Lonchura striata: one gene and its partner. The protein of the gene in region 1 purifies or fractionates together with the protein of each later gene. This does not show direct contact. Links are inferred from orthologs where the notes say so. Each region holds a gene or a part of one and is shown on either strand. Other genes may lie near its edges. The genes, in order: CASP3 and CRYAB.

The links.
Region 2: the proteins of CASP3 (region 1) and CRYAB purify together in Homo sapiens (affinity purification with western blotting; 3 studies listed by BioGRID). This does not show direct contact. The link is inferred for Lonchura striata from reciprocal best matches to the Homo sapiens genes CASP3 and CRYAB.

What each region holds. Positions count from the first base shown.
Region 1 is NC_134606.1:31,975,783-31,982,053, reverse strand, and holds the start of CASP3 (caspase-3), read right to left. Parts: upstream 3,949-6,271; 5' UTR 3,837-3,948; intron 1-3,836. UniProt on the Homo sapiens protein: Thiol protease that acts as a major effector caspase involved in the execution phase of apoptosis. Following cleavage and activation by initiator caspases (CASP8, CASP9 and/or CASP10), mediates execution of apoptosis by catalyzing cleavage of many proteins.
Region 2 is NC_134625.1:9,469,558-9,475,828, forward strand, and holds CRYAB (alpha-crystallin B chain), read right to left. Parts: upstream 3,696-6,271; 5' UTR 3,421-3,695; coding exon 3,223-3,420; intron 2,290-3,222; coding exon 2,167-2,289; intron 503-2,166; coding exon 299-502; 3' UTR 160-298; downstream 1-159. Other genes in the region: HSPB2 (heat shock protein beta-2), read left to right, coding at 5,446-5,539. UniProt on the Homo sapiens protein: May contribute to the transparency and refractive index of the lens. Has chaperone-like activity, preventing aggregation of various proteins under a wide range of stress conditions.

The DNA of each region.
Region 1 (6,271 bases):
ATCACCTACAACCCCACCCACACTAGGACCGGGATGCAAAATAATCCAGAAATAATCCAGTGGAATCATGGGGGGGGGGGGGTTGAGGATGAAAAACACCCCAAAATGAAAAAGAGGGGCACAGTGGAGGGGGCTGGATGGGTATGCAGGTTGGGGAAAAGGGAACCCCATCCCTAGTCTGTGTTTGACCTGTCACTATACCCTGCAGAGGACCAGATTGGACTGGGCTGTGGGAAGCAGGCACAAGGAATCAGACACTCTTCCTGGTGTTACCAGGAGGGAAGGAGAGGGATAGCTGCTGCTGGATCTCGGCAGCAGGCTCTGCACATCCCCCCAGCCTTGGGCTACCAGTGTGCCAGGAGGAAAGGAGAGGACGGTCTGCTGGGACTGCAGATACAGACTGGACACCTCTGCACCTCCGGCTGCCAGCGTGCCTCGGAGACTCCAGGGACAGACTGTCACCTTCTCACCCTTCGGCTACCGGAAAAGCTACAACACCCCCCTGCCGAGCTGACTTTTTAATAAAGAGCTGAACACTAATAAAGGCATAGACCCTGTCCATTTCAAGGTGCTCCAACCAAACTGCTGAACAGCAGCAGCCTTAACTAAGCAAACTGCAGACCCCTGCGAGCACTGAATGCTGCTTACAACGTAAATGTAAAGGCACGATGCAAACACTAAGAGAGATCTCCAACATTTAAGTGACCTTAAAATAAAACTTATCTCCTTGACCCTTTAGCAACCTTCAATTTTAAAGCTGTAAAACTGCTGTTCTTGATCCAGCATCAAAGAAACAATGAAACTGGAAGAAGTAGCTAGCAAAACCTACAATTCCAATCAATTATATTAGTTTCTTTCTGAAAAATTTAAATCACAACTTGTATCATAAAAATACTTCTTACTCTGCAAGCCTAGTTCAGAGTCTACAGTTACAGTTGTTCAGTGAAGTGTTAGAGCTTCCTGCACTCCATCACAACTGGAGCTTGTCTCAGAGACTTTACAGAAGCTATAGGGATTATCTAGAAAAACTGGTTATAACACGTTAAGTATTTGAAATGTGCATAGTTTCTCTTCAGAACAGAATCCATAACTCACTTTTAATATCCATCAGTTCCTGAGCACCCTCAGGCACCAGGTCACCTGCACTTCTTTAAAGAACAAAAGACACCCTAGGCACTCAAATGCGTGCCTGAATCAGCAGGGCATTTTGTGCTCTGAAGCAGGGTCACAGCAATGCTCTCTGGAGGATGCTGCTGATTCTAACAGGCCAGTAAGAATTGCCTCATCTTGCTTTAGGTAATGCAGTGATGCCATGCATTTCCCTGTGGAGGATGATCTCATCCTGGTGAGGGGAGGTGTGGGGGGAAGAAATCATTGCAGTGCTTTAAAAATTTATTACAAATTTTTATGCTGCTCTTTGATATTTTCTCTGAAAGCTTAGGTAAAACGAGGTTTCAAGTGTAAGGAAATATAAACAAGTTATTAAAAAGAGCAATAGCATTTTTATAATCTAGCAAAATATATTCTGTAGATTTTAGGAAGCTTATTTTATAATAGTGAGTCTGAAAAAAAATACAATTAAAAAAAAACATGATACAGAGACAGCAAACATAAAGGTGATGCTACAATGATCTTTACATATACTAGGTAATAAGAAATAAAGTGTCTCAAAAAGGTTCAAAGCTATGTTCTGCAAGCTACCAAGAAATGACCAATTCATCTCTGTACAGCAATAAGAGCAAAAAGATTTTTTCCCCTACATAAATGTAGTTATTCCAATACTTTTCTTTTGACAGGAAAACAATAAATAAAACAACTTTTTACTCCATTGCAGCCTGGATTTACTTATTCCACCTGGACCTAAAGAAAATTAATTCACATCATCATGTGTTACCACATGGTTACTTATGGTGGCCATAAAAACCATCAGTTTTTTCTTTTTAAAGCAATATTTCTTTGAAATGAGAACAACAGAAATGTGATAAAAATATATAGTGATAAAAATACCAAAGCTTCCGAGATGGGAGAAAGCAAATAACTAAACTGTCTTTAGTTACCAACTGGATCCTGAAATATGCAAACCACAGGAAACAACACATGTTCAGAATATATCTGTTGCTACAAAGCAATGAGTATAGCACTGCTAAAACATGCTCAAAACAGACATCAGCAATGTAAAACATCTTCTTAAAGATAGGAAAAGGGCAGTTTTCTACATCACATGAATGCAAGAGAAAATGTCAAGCATTTAAAGAAGGTATTTTTTGTAGACAAACATATACATGACATATCATGATACTAATGCAGACATGCAAATTAAAAATCTTCCCCTCTACAATGTATAATGCTAAACAATAATTATCTGACTAATAAGAGAAGGAAGATACAGAAGCAGACTATATGAAAAAACAAAAAACATCTGAAATACAGCATTACATTTTCTGTGAGACACTATCCCCCTGCTAAATACTGCTACCAAAGATGGAAGCAGGCCCATACTGAGACAGCTTTTCCCATTGCTTCTGGTCTGGATGTAGTTGCTGGAAAGTCCTGACACTGGGCCAGCATTCTGATCTTCCACAACAAACAGACTTTTAGGTACTCAGCATGAAGCTGTAAAATCAGCTGAAATTACTCCAAGTGTAGAAGGGACCTTGGAGTTATTAATTTACCTGTAGCTATTAATCACATCTATATATATATATAATCACACTGCTATAAGCAACAGCCATATCAGCTCCTTAACATGAAGGGCACGGTGTGCTAGTTTGAAACCTACCCCCTGGCAAGCAGATACCTGAAGGAGAGAGCTCTGAGTTACAGAGTAAAAGACAGACAGACGATAGATGGCCAGCCCTATCCTTCAGCCCAGCAGGGAACAGGCAGGACACAACACACGTCAGGGCGTGTTGCCTGCTACCAAAAGTTAGCCACAGTGCCTGCCAGGACCCCAGGCATGCTTTTCGTCAGTACAGACGAGGTTTAACACGCTTTGTTTCGGAAGATCCAAATACAGCTTCTGACCCCGTGTTTCCGGTTAATGGTCCACCGAGTGGTCACCAGAGAGCAGCTCAGAATTACAGCGCCTTTTTTTTCCCCTTCTCTTTGCCCTCTGTTTCTACAGCGTCCCCACAAAGACAGGCTGAAAGGGAACAAACTCGCTACCTTAAGCTTCTGGAAAGCTAACACCGGAGGCCCGGGCTCTGCCCCCGGGCAGGGGAAGCGGCGGGGGCTGAGATGGAGCCGCGGGCGCTGGGATGGGCACGGCGGGCGCTGGGATGGGCACGGCGGGCGCTGGGATGGGCACGGCGGGCGCTGGGATGGAGCCGCGGGCGCTGGGATGGGCACCGCGGGCGCTGGGATGGGCACCGCGGGCGCTGGGATGGGCACCGCGGGCGCTGGGATGGAGCCGCGGGCGCTGGGATGGAGCCGCGGGCGCTGGGATGGCGCCGCGGGCGCTGGGATGGCACGGCGGGCGCTGGGATGGAGCCGCGGGCGCTGGGATGGAGCCGCGGGCGCTCTCTCCCGCCTGGCCCGAGGGCCAGGCCGGGGCTCACCCGCCCCAGCACCGCCCGAGCGCCGGGCCTGCGGGGCCGGGAGCCCGGCGGGCAGACGGGGGAACGGCGCGCTCAGCCCGGCCCGCCCCGGCCAAACGCGGCTCCCCTCCTGCTCCCCGCTGCCGACTTCCTCCGGGACAAATGCTGGCGGCCACGCGGCCCTGGAGAGCCACAGCTTGGTCCACCCCCACCCCCACGGCTTTGTTCGGCTCCGCCGCCGCGCCCGCATCCCGGCACCGCCGCTTCCCGGCACCAATGCCCCTCACCGGCTTCACTCACCGGCTGCTCGCTGCGCTCTGAGCCGCGTTTTCCCGAGCGCCGCTCAGCCGAGCGCTGCCCCGAGCACAGAAAGCCCCGCCGCCGCCGCCCGGCCCGCCGGCGCCGCGCTGGCCCCGCCCCGCGCTGGGCGGGCGGCGCGCACCGGCGGCGGCGGCGGCGCGGGCCGTGAGTCGGGCCGGGGGAGCGGCGCGGGCCCGGCGGGCTCAGCTCGGCGGGCTCTGCGGGCTCTGCCGGCGGGAGGGAGACGTGCGAGGCCGCGCTGGGGAGGCACGGGGTGGCTGCTCTGCTCTGCTCTGCTGGCAGAGCTCGCGGGGCCGGGCCCTGTGGCGGAGCCACCGCGCTCGGAGCGCTGAGCCGGGTACGGCTGTCCTTGCTGCTCTTGGGTGTGAACGATGCGCTGTTGCTTGAGTTCCTCTGCCTGCTGAAACAAATGTAGCGTTCTAGTATATTACACCATGTTGGTGCGGCCTCATATTAAATGCTGTGTGCAGTTCTGGGCACCCTGAGGATGGTGAAGGGCATTTCCTCGTTGGGAAACCATAGGAGGAGCAGCTGAGGTCACTTAGTCTGTTCAGCCTGGAGAAGGGGAGGCTACGGGGAGACCTCATTGTGGTCTTCAGCATCCTTGTGAGCAGGCACTGATCCTTCTCTGTGGTGACCAGTGACAGGACCCGAGGGAACAGCCTGAAGATGTGTGAAGGGAGGTTGAGGTGGGATAATAGGAAAAGGTACATCACCCATAGGGTGGTTGGGCAATGGAACAGGCTCCCAGGGAACTGGTCACAGCACCAAGTGTGACAGAGTTCAAGGAGCATTTCGACAACATTCTCAGGTACATGGTGTGACTGTTGGCGGTGGCAACTCAGACTGTTCTGTGATTCTGACAGAATGGTGGTTTGTAAAGGAAATGGCCATCTAGAGCAATCTGTGGGGACAATAACTAAATGAGCAGCCCCCCCTCTTGACCTCAGTGAGCGAGATCCCCATGGATGAGCTGGCTTGTACCATGGCAGTACCTTCCCTTGGACAGGGTTTTCACCCACCTGCGTGGTGGCTGTCCCTGGCTGCCCACAGACCTGCCTCGCAGAACAACAGCGCTCTGACGCTGAGGCCTGATTTTGGCTTCATCAACTTTCAGGTCAGTTAGTTTCATATCTGTACACTGACCTTCAGTATCAGAAGTCAGATAACATTGGAAGCTATGTATTCCAGCTTCTGATAACAGGTACTAACCTACTTTTTCAGGTCTTATCACCAGGTCTGATCTACTGAGTTTTGCACTTGCAATCTTAATTTGAGGAACAGGTTGTCCAGAGGAGTTGTGGAGTCTTCCCCACTGGAAATACTCAGGAACTGACTGGACACAATCCTGTGCCATGTGCTCTAGGATGACCCCGCTTGAGCAGGGAAGTTGGACCAGATGACCCATTGTAGTCCCTTCCAACCTGAGCCATCCTGTGATTCTGTAAATGTAGAGGCAACTTCCTCTATTAGGAGGGCAAGATGAACATTTGTTATTGGGAAGATGAGTAGCGTTTGTTAATGTGACATTCATCAGATGAATGTAAGGATAGCTAATTTTCACTAATGTTAAGGAATTTAATGTGTTCTTCTAAGGCTGAATCAGTAGCTGGGAGAAAATCTCATGGATTTATTTTTGTCAAGGACCATGAACTCTGCCATAGAACTATGTTGCATGGTACACACCAGCCAGGAAACAAGTGTAATGTTATTTTGAGTAGCAGTTGATTTGCATGTCTGAGCTGCAGGTGTGTGTAATACGTTTTGCTGTTATAAGAAGTAAAGGGAGAATAGTCTTCCATAAAATAGAGAAAATTAAACAGCAAGTTCTTTAAATCATTGCTCAGGAGACATTTTTTCCAGGCTCTTCATGCAGTCATCCTGCTGAGTCAATAACACTGAAGTCCAAACATGTTTGTGACAAGATTTCTTTCAGTCAAGTCAAACAAAAATAAGTACTGCCCTTACTTCTGGTGGGACATAAGAGAGGAAGATGAAGTGAGAATTTCCCAGTGAACTCAGAAGGCTGATCTGTGTTAACTGTATGTGCTCTAAGTAGATGTGTTGTGTTATAGCTCACACAGGAATTGAAATTGCCTTGAAAAGACTTGACATGTTGGACTCTTGAGATATCGAGTGTTTGGACTGCAAGAACCATGATAGTTTCAGTTGAAAGTAAGGGTCATCACTCTTCTCCCAGGTTCAGGTCCTCCCAGCTGTGTTTCTGCAAAAATACGGCCTAATGTAACTAGAAAGTTTAAAATTAATAAAGAATTATGGGGCTTCTCCTTTGCTTTCATTTTTTAATGGTCACCTTGTGGGAAAATGCTGATGTAGGGATTTCTTTTGCACCTAGTTAATTTACAGCCAGCAGCGCCAAAATGAAACTGAAAGTTTTGTTAGCACTTCTGAGA
Region 2 (6,271 bases), on another chromosome or scaffold:
CCAGATAACTGAACTTGGCACCCAAAAAAAGGGAGAGACAAACAAGGTGTGATGAGAAAGTGTTACCCAGGTAAGCTCTCCTGGGCACCCAAAAAATGATATTGCCCCACACCTTTGATCCACCTTTCTCAACGCAACCCAAAACAAACCAATCCAAGCTGCTTCTCCATGGTTTTATTCGTTAGTAAACTTACTCGGCATAAATAATACGAGCGGCTGTTGGGTACAGCCGGCCCGTGGCGGAGGAAGGAGCAGTGGGATGGCCCTGCAGGGTGGCCTGGGGCCAGCAGAGCAGCGCTCACTTCCTCTGGGCGCCTGCGATGGCCGGTTTGTCCTCGCGGGTGATGGGGATGCTGCGCTCGGGGACATCGCTCTGCTTGCGGGGAGCGCTGACGGTCAGCACCCCGTCCAGCGACAGCGAGGACGTGATGCTCAGCGGGTCCACGTCGTCCGGGATGCGGTATTTCCTGCTGAACTCCCTGGCGATGAAGCCGTGCTCGTCCTGAGCAAAAAAAAAAAACCCAAAAAATCCAGGAGAAAATCCTCACCGCGCAGCCTTTGGATTATTTGAATTAAGGAGACCCCGCCCGGTGCTGCTTTAACCACGGGGTGTTGGCTCCAAGGTTGGGGATGGGGAGTTGGGGCTCTCAAAGGGAAGTTTTCAGGGAGTTAAAAGGGTTTTGGAGATGAGGTGTCCTCTTCAAGGAGAGCAGGACACTGCCTGGGCTGCAGGTGCCTGTGGGTACACCGAGTTTACAGGGGGAGGTTCTGTGCCCACCCTGAAACAGAAACTTTAAGGGATTTAGAGATTTTAGAGGAGCTAAGATTTTAGTTAGAGATAAGCCTCACTAGAGTTAATTAAAATAAATGAGTAGGCCTCGATGAAGTTAAGAGTTAGTAGTTAACTAATAACTGATTGCTCGTCAGCACAATGTTGAGTTAGCTGGGTTTATAATGAAGAATATAAACTGATAAATTGCTTTTAGGAACATCAGACAATTGTGGGCCTCCTCTGCTCTGAAACCAACTGAAGACAAGGAATGGGAGTTCTACCAAAAGTTCATTTGTCATGTTGGCATTGAAAAGGTAGAAAGGTCAGAAGGAGGAAGACTTCATTGACTTCCTCATTTTGGGACCCCTCCCCATGGAAGGGACACCGACCCATTCCAAGAAACAAATTATGCATGCTTAATAACTTTTTGAAATGATTAGCATAGGAAGCGAGGAATGGGATGTACCAAAATGATGAATATGTATTTATATTTTAAATATTCAATACTTGTATGGATAAAAGGGCTCTGTAATCACTTGTAAGGCACAATGTGGATTTGGGAGCGATCCCACACACAATAAACACTCACTCTCTAACTTTAAACTGTTAGAGAGTTTTTGTCCATCACAGTTGGATATCGGTACTAGATCAACCCCTGTGCCAGCCAGAGGCTGCCCTGAGCTCTGTGCTGGCATTCCCGAGGTGCTGTCCACAACCACACCTGCCCCGGAGACCTCAAAGCCTGACCCCACTGCTTGCTTATCTTAGCCCAAAAAGGATGCCAGGAAGGTGCCAGGATCACAGACCCCAGTGCTACAGGGAGCACTGCACTCCCTGGTGGCACGCTGTGCTCCTAGGGGTGCCAATTCCAGGGACACAGCTGCTCTGGGGACTGGAAAATGCTGGTACATCCAGCTCTGGGCACGGCTTTGCGTTTCTGCCTGCCCAGTGTCCACACAGGTCTCCAGAGCCAGCAGGGAGAGGGATGGATGGCAGCAGAACACAACTTTGAAGGATTAGAAACTGCTAGCTGGGCCTGGGGAAGGTAACACACAGGGCAATGCACGGATTCATTACGTGGCTTGATTGATAGAGTTAATTTTTAGCTCGTTGGACGCCTCCCTGCATTCCTGGCCTCTTCCCAGAAAGAGGGGAAGCCCAAAAATGCCCATTTCACAGATGATTTTCCAGTTCAGTTCACAGCTCATGCAACATCAGCAATAAACCTCCACCCTCTTGCTGCCCTGTCTGGGATCAGCTGGGGGGAATTGCATGGAGCACCTTGACTAAAAAAATGACAAATATTTGAGGTGAGCAGGGGATTGTTTGGCAGTCACCAGAGGGGAGGGAGTTCACAGTGACTCCCTCGGTGGTGAAGGTAAAGCAGGGGGTACCTGGCGCTCCTCGTGCTTCCCGTGGATCTCGATCATGTCCCCGAGCACCTTCACCTTCAGCTCCTCAGGGGAGAAATGCTTCACATCCAGGTTCACATAAAATTTGTCCTTATCCAGTCGCATCTGCAAAAAAGTGGGAGGTGACTTCAGAGAAGAGCAAAAACCAGGAGGTGACTTCAGGGAAGATCAGGTGAGGGTTTCAGCTTAAAAAGGAATGCAGTAGGTCAAGACTCACGCTGGTCTCTACACACACACACACATACACACACACACTGACCCTTATTTTGGGATCTGATCTGAGTGGCTCTGTCCCTTGCTGGCCTTGTGTTAATGCCCATCACTTCAGGACCTGAGATTCTCCACCAGAATTGGTTAAAACTGCCTCTTTATTTAAAGCTGACTCTTTATTTTGGCTGCTTCACTAGGCAGCCAGACCGAGGTCACTAAATCAAGAAAGACATTATGCAAGGATTAAAATAATACTTTCACTCCTTCTGCTTGGAATAGCTCCTCAAGCTCCTTGCAAATAAGACAGTTGACTTGCAGGACAGGCAAAAGCCTCTTGGCTCAGCCCCTGGAGGGAGTAGGCGCCTGCTCCATGATCCTCTGGGTCCTGGATTTTATTAAAAAGCTGCTTTCCTGGGCAGGGATTGTCTGAAATAGGCCCCTTTTCCCTCAGCAGCCATTGGCGTGAGGATCCCACTGCCCCCGTGCTCTTTGCTTCTCATGTGGGAGTGGGATTGAAAGTTTGGTGCAGCGGGTTGGGAAATTAGGGAAATTAGAGAAATTAGGGAAATTAGGGAAATTAGGCTTCCTCCTTTGCTCTGCCAGCTCCTAGGGTGATCTGCCACGCACACTGAGCTCTGTTCCCATCGCTATGGCCAGACTTGCTCCATCCCAAGCAATGCAGAGGTGCAAACACAGCACCTTTTCCCCCAGCCTTTCTCCTAAAAAAAAAAAAACAACACCTAGGAGCATCTTCCAAGCTCTCAGCTCTCCTGGGCCTCCAGAGCCAGCAGGCTGTGCCCCCAGCAGCCACAAAGAAGCAAAGATTACCTCCGAGAGTCCTGTCTCTAGCCAACTGGGCATCCGAAGGATGGGGGATCTCATCAGGAAGGGGCTGAAGCTGGGGGAAACAGGGAGCAGCTCCGACTCGGGCAGGTGCTCCCCGAAAATCTGGTCAAAGATACGGCTCGGTGCCAACCAGGAGAAGAAAGGTCTGCGGATCAGGGGGTTGTGGATGGTGATATCCATTGGAGAGCGCTGGAGGAGCCTGGCCAACAACTGTGCTGCAGTGCCGTGCCGGGAGCGGGGACAGCTTTATACCCCGCAGCTGGCCTGGCCTTCCACCCCCCCGAGGCCTCTTGAACAGTGGTGTCAGGGATTTTATTGTCCCACTCCTGGGCTGGGCCCTTCGGCGGTGCCCAGTAGCTGTCTGAGGGATTTGTGCACGCTGCCGAGGAGGAGGAGGAGGAGGGGGAAGGGGAGAGGAAGAAGAGGAGCCCAATGGGGCAGCAAGAAGCCGCAGTGGCCCGGCGCCCGCCCCGCTGCCCACGTGCTGTTTGTCCACAGTCCCGGGCGGGTTTGGCCCGTGTTCCAGCTGCCCTGCATGCCAGCGGGATCAATGCAGCTCCTATCTTTGGCTCACAGGGACGGCGACAAGGGGCCCTTGTTCCCGGGACTCGGCTCCAGCATCACCCGCCGGGTCCCGGCGGCAAAGGGAGCCCCGAAATCGGGGCTAGGGAGGTGCCAGGAGGGCTCTGCTGGGATCCTGGCACTGCAGGGTGCAGCCCTGCCGCCCTCGTGGTGTGTGGGAATAAAGGATGGGTCTCCCCACCAGCACCTCTTGTCTTTTGGCCGCTGCGGAGCGCGTTGTTCTGGAGGGAAGAGCCCCACGCTGTGACCCCAGAGAGAAGCTGGGCATGGTCACGGCCTCCAGGGCACTGTACTGCACCCAGGGGTGCCGAGCACCTCTGTCTGCCTCTGCCTAACCTGCTTTCCTGCAGCTCTGCTCCTAAATCCGTGCATTTGCTTTAATTCCTGCCTCGCCCGTGAGCCCAAATCACAGGAATGGGTTCAGCCTGGCTTCTGCTGAAGGGCAAGAGCTTCTCTGCCCGTGAGAGCTCACAATTTAAACCCAGTTTCTGGCTCAGAGGCACTGCCAGCTCTGCCAACCCTTTGCAAAAGGCTCTGAGCCTCTTCCTCTCGGCTTGCCTGCAAGAATAGAGGGCAGGATTTGCTCTGTGCAGCAGCCCAGGCCATAAATACCCTCTCCGAGTCCCCGTCACATCAGCAGCACTGCACCTGCTCTCCCACCCTGCAGGGCTCAGGGAATCTCTGGTTTCAGGGCGTGCAGAACCCAGCTGGGCACTCCTGCCCTGCTGCAGCACCAGCAGCCCACCAGCCCTGCTCAGCAAAACTGGATTTGGGCCAGGTTCGGAGCCTGGGTGAGCTGGGGATGGCTGGCAGCAGCATTTCTCCGTGGCCTGGCCAAGGGAAGAGGCTGGGCAGCCAGCAGGGCTCAGCATGGGGAGGTGACAGCAGTGGCACCTGGATCCCTGCTCCACTCCCTGCAGCCCTAAAGGAGCAGAAGAGTTGAGCTCAGCTGGGCAAAGCAGGGTTCTTACGTGGGGAACAGGAGGGGTTTGAGCTGAACAAGCCCCAGCCACCCACGGGGGCTCAGGGCCACCGATTCCAGTGCCAGGGGCTCCCTGAGCCACCCCAAGGAGCCTCTCGGTGGCCACAGCCTGGGGTCTGTCCTGCTCCCTCAGCCCTGAGTGCTGGGCTGGGCTGCCCATGCACCCTTGCTCCAGAAGGGACCCCCAGAGGGTCCCCGAGGTGTCCCTGAAATGTCCCTGAGGTGTCCCTGAGGTGTTCCTGAAATGTCCCTGAGGTGTCCTTGAAGTGTCCCCGAGGTGTCCCCAAGGTGTACCCAAGGTGTCCCCGAGGTGTCCCCTGCCCTCCCTGCTGGAATGCAGTGAGAATCTTCCCTCGCCGCCCTGGCCCGGCGTCCTGGGGCCTGCACGGGGCTATTTTGGGCCATCTTTTTTATCACTGCCTCCTCCCTTTGGAATCCTCCCAGCTGGAGCCTGGCAGCCTGCAGCCTTCACTCGGAGAGGCAGCGAGGGCTGGGGAGGAAGGAAGGGAGGCAGGAAGGCAAGAAGGAAGGAAAGAAGGAAAGAGGAAGGAAGGCAAGAAGGAAGGAAAGAAGGAAGGAAAGAAGAAAAGAAGGAAGGAAAGAAGGAAAGCAAGAAGGAAGGTGCCCATCCTGCACACGCCATGGCTGCCCGCACGGTGCCCCACGCCTACCCCATGAGCTCTGAGTACGAGTTTGCCAACCCCAGCAAGATCTACGACCAGAACTTTGGAGAAGGTAAGGAAGTTGGTGGGATCCCCCCCTCTTTGCACCTTTCTCCCCTCTGCTGCTGGAGGGCTGCTGGAATTCCCACTGGGGAGCTTGAGCTCCAGAGGGGGAAGCTGGAGCTGCGGAATTTTGAGTGGAGGAACCCAGAGCAAATCAGAGGGGAACAGCCAGGGAATAAGCAGGGAATATCTAGGGAATAACCAGGGAATAGACAGGGAATAGCCAGGGAGAAACCAAGGAATAGCCAGGGAAAAACTAGGGAATAAGCAAGGAATAGCCAGGGATTAACCAGGGAATAGCCAGGGAATAGACAGGGAATAACCAAGGAATTGCCAGGGAATAGCCAGGGAAAAAGCAAGGAACAACCAGGGAAAAAGCAAGGAATAACCAGGGAATAAGCAAGGAATAACCAGGGAATAGCCAGGGAATAGCCAGGGAACAGCCAGGATCTCTCTCTTCATGTCCACTTCCCCATCCATGCCCACTGCTGCCCGTCCCGTCCCTCCCTCATGCCAGCCACGCTCTGGCATTCGTGCACATGCTGTGCAAACATGGAGCCAAAGCTCAGGGCAGGGGGGGAAGCTTTTCCAGCCGGGGGGATGTGGAGAAAAGCTGAGCTGGGGCGTTCAGCACAAAGCTGGGCATGGCTGGCCCAGGGGAAGGAATGTGGGCAGCAGCAGAACCATTCAGCACCAGCACAACAGCGTGAAAAGGCAAAAAGCTCCAAGGAAAGCCCTGTGG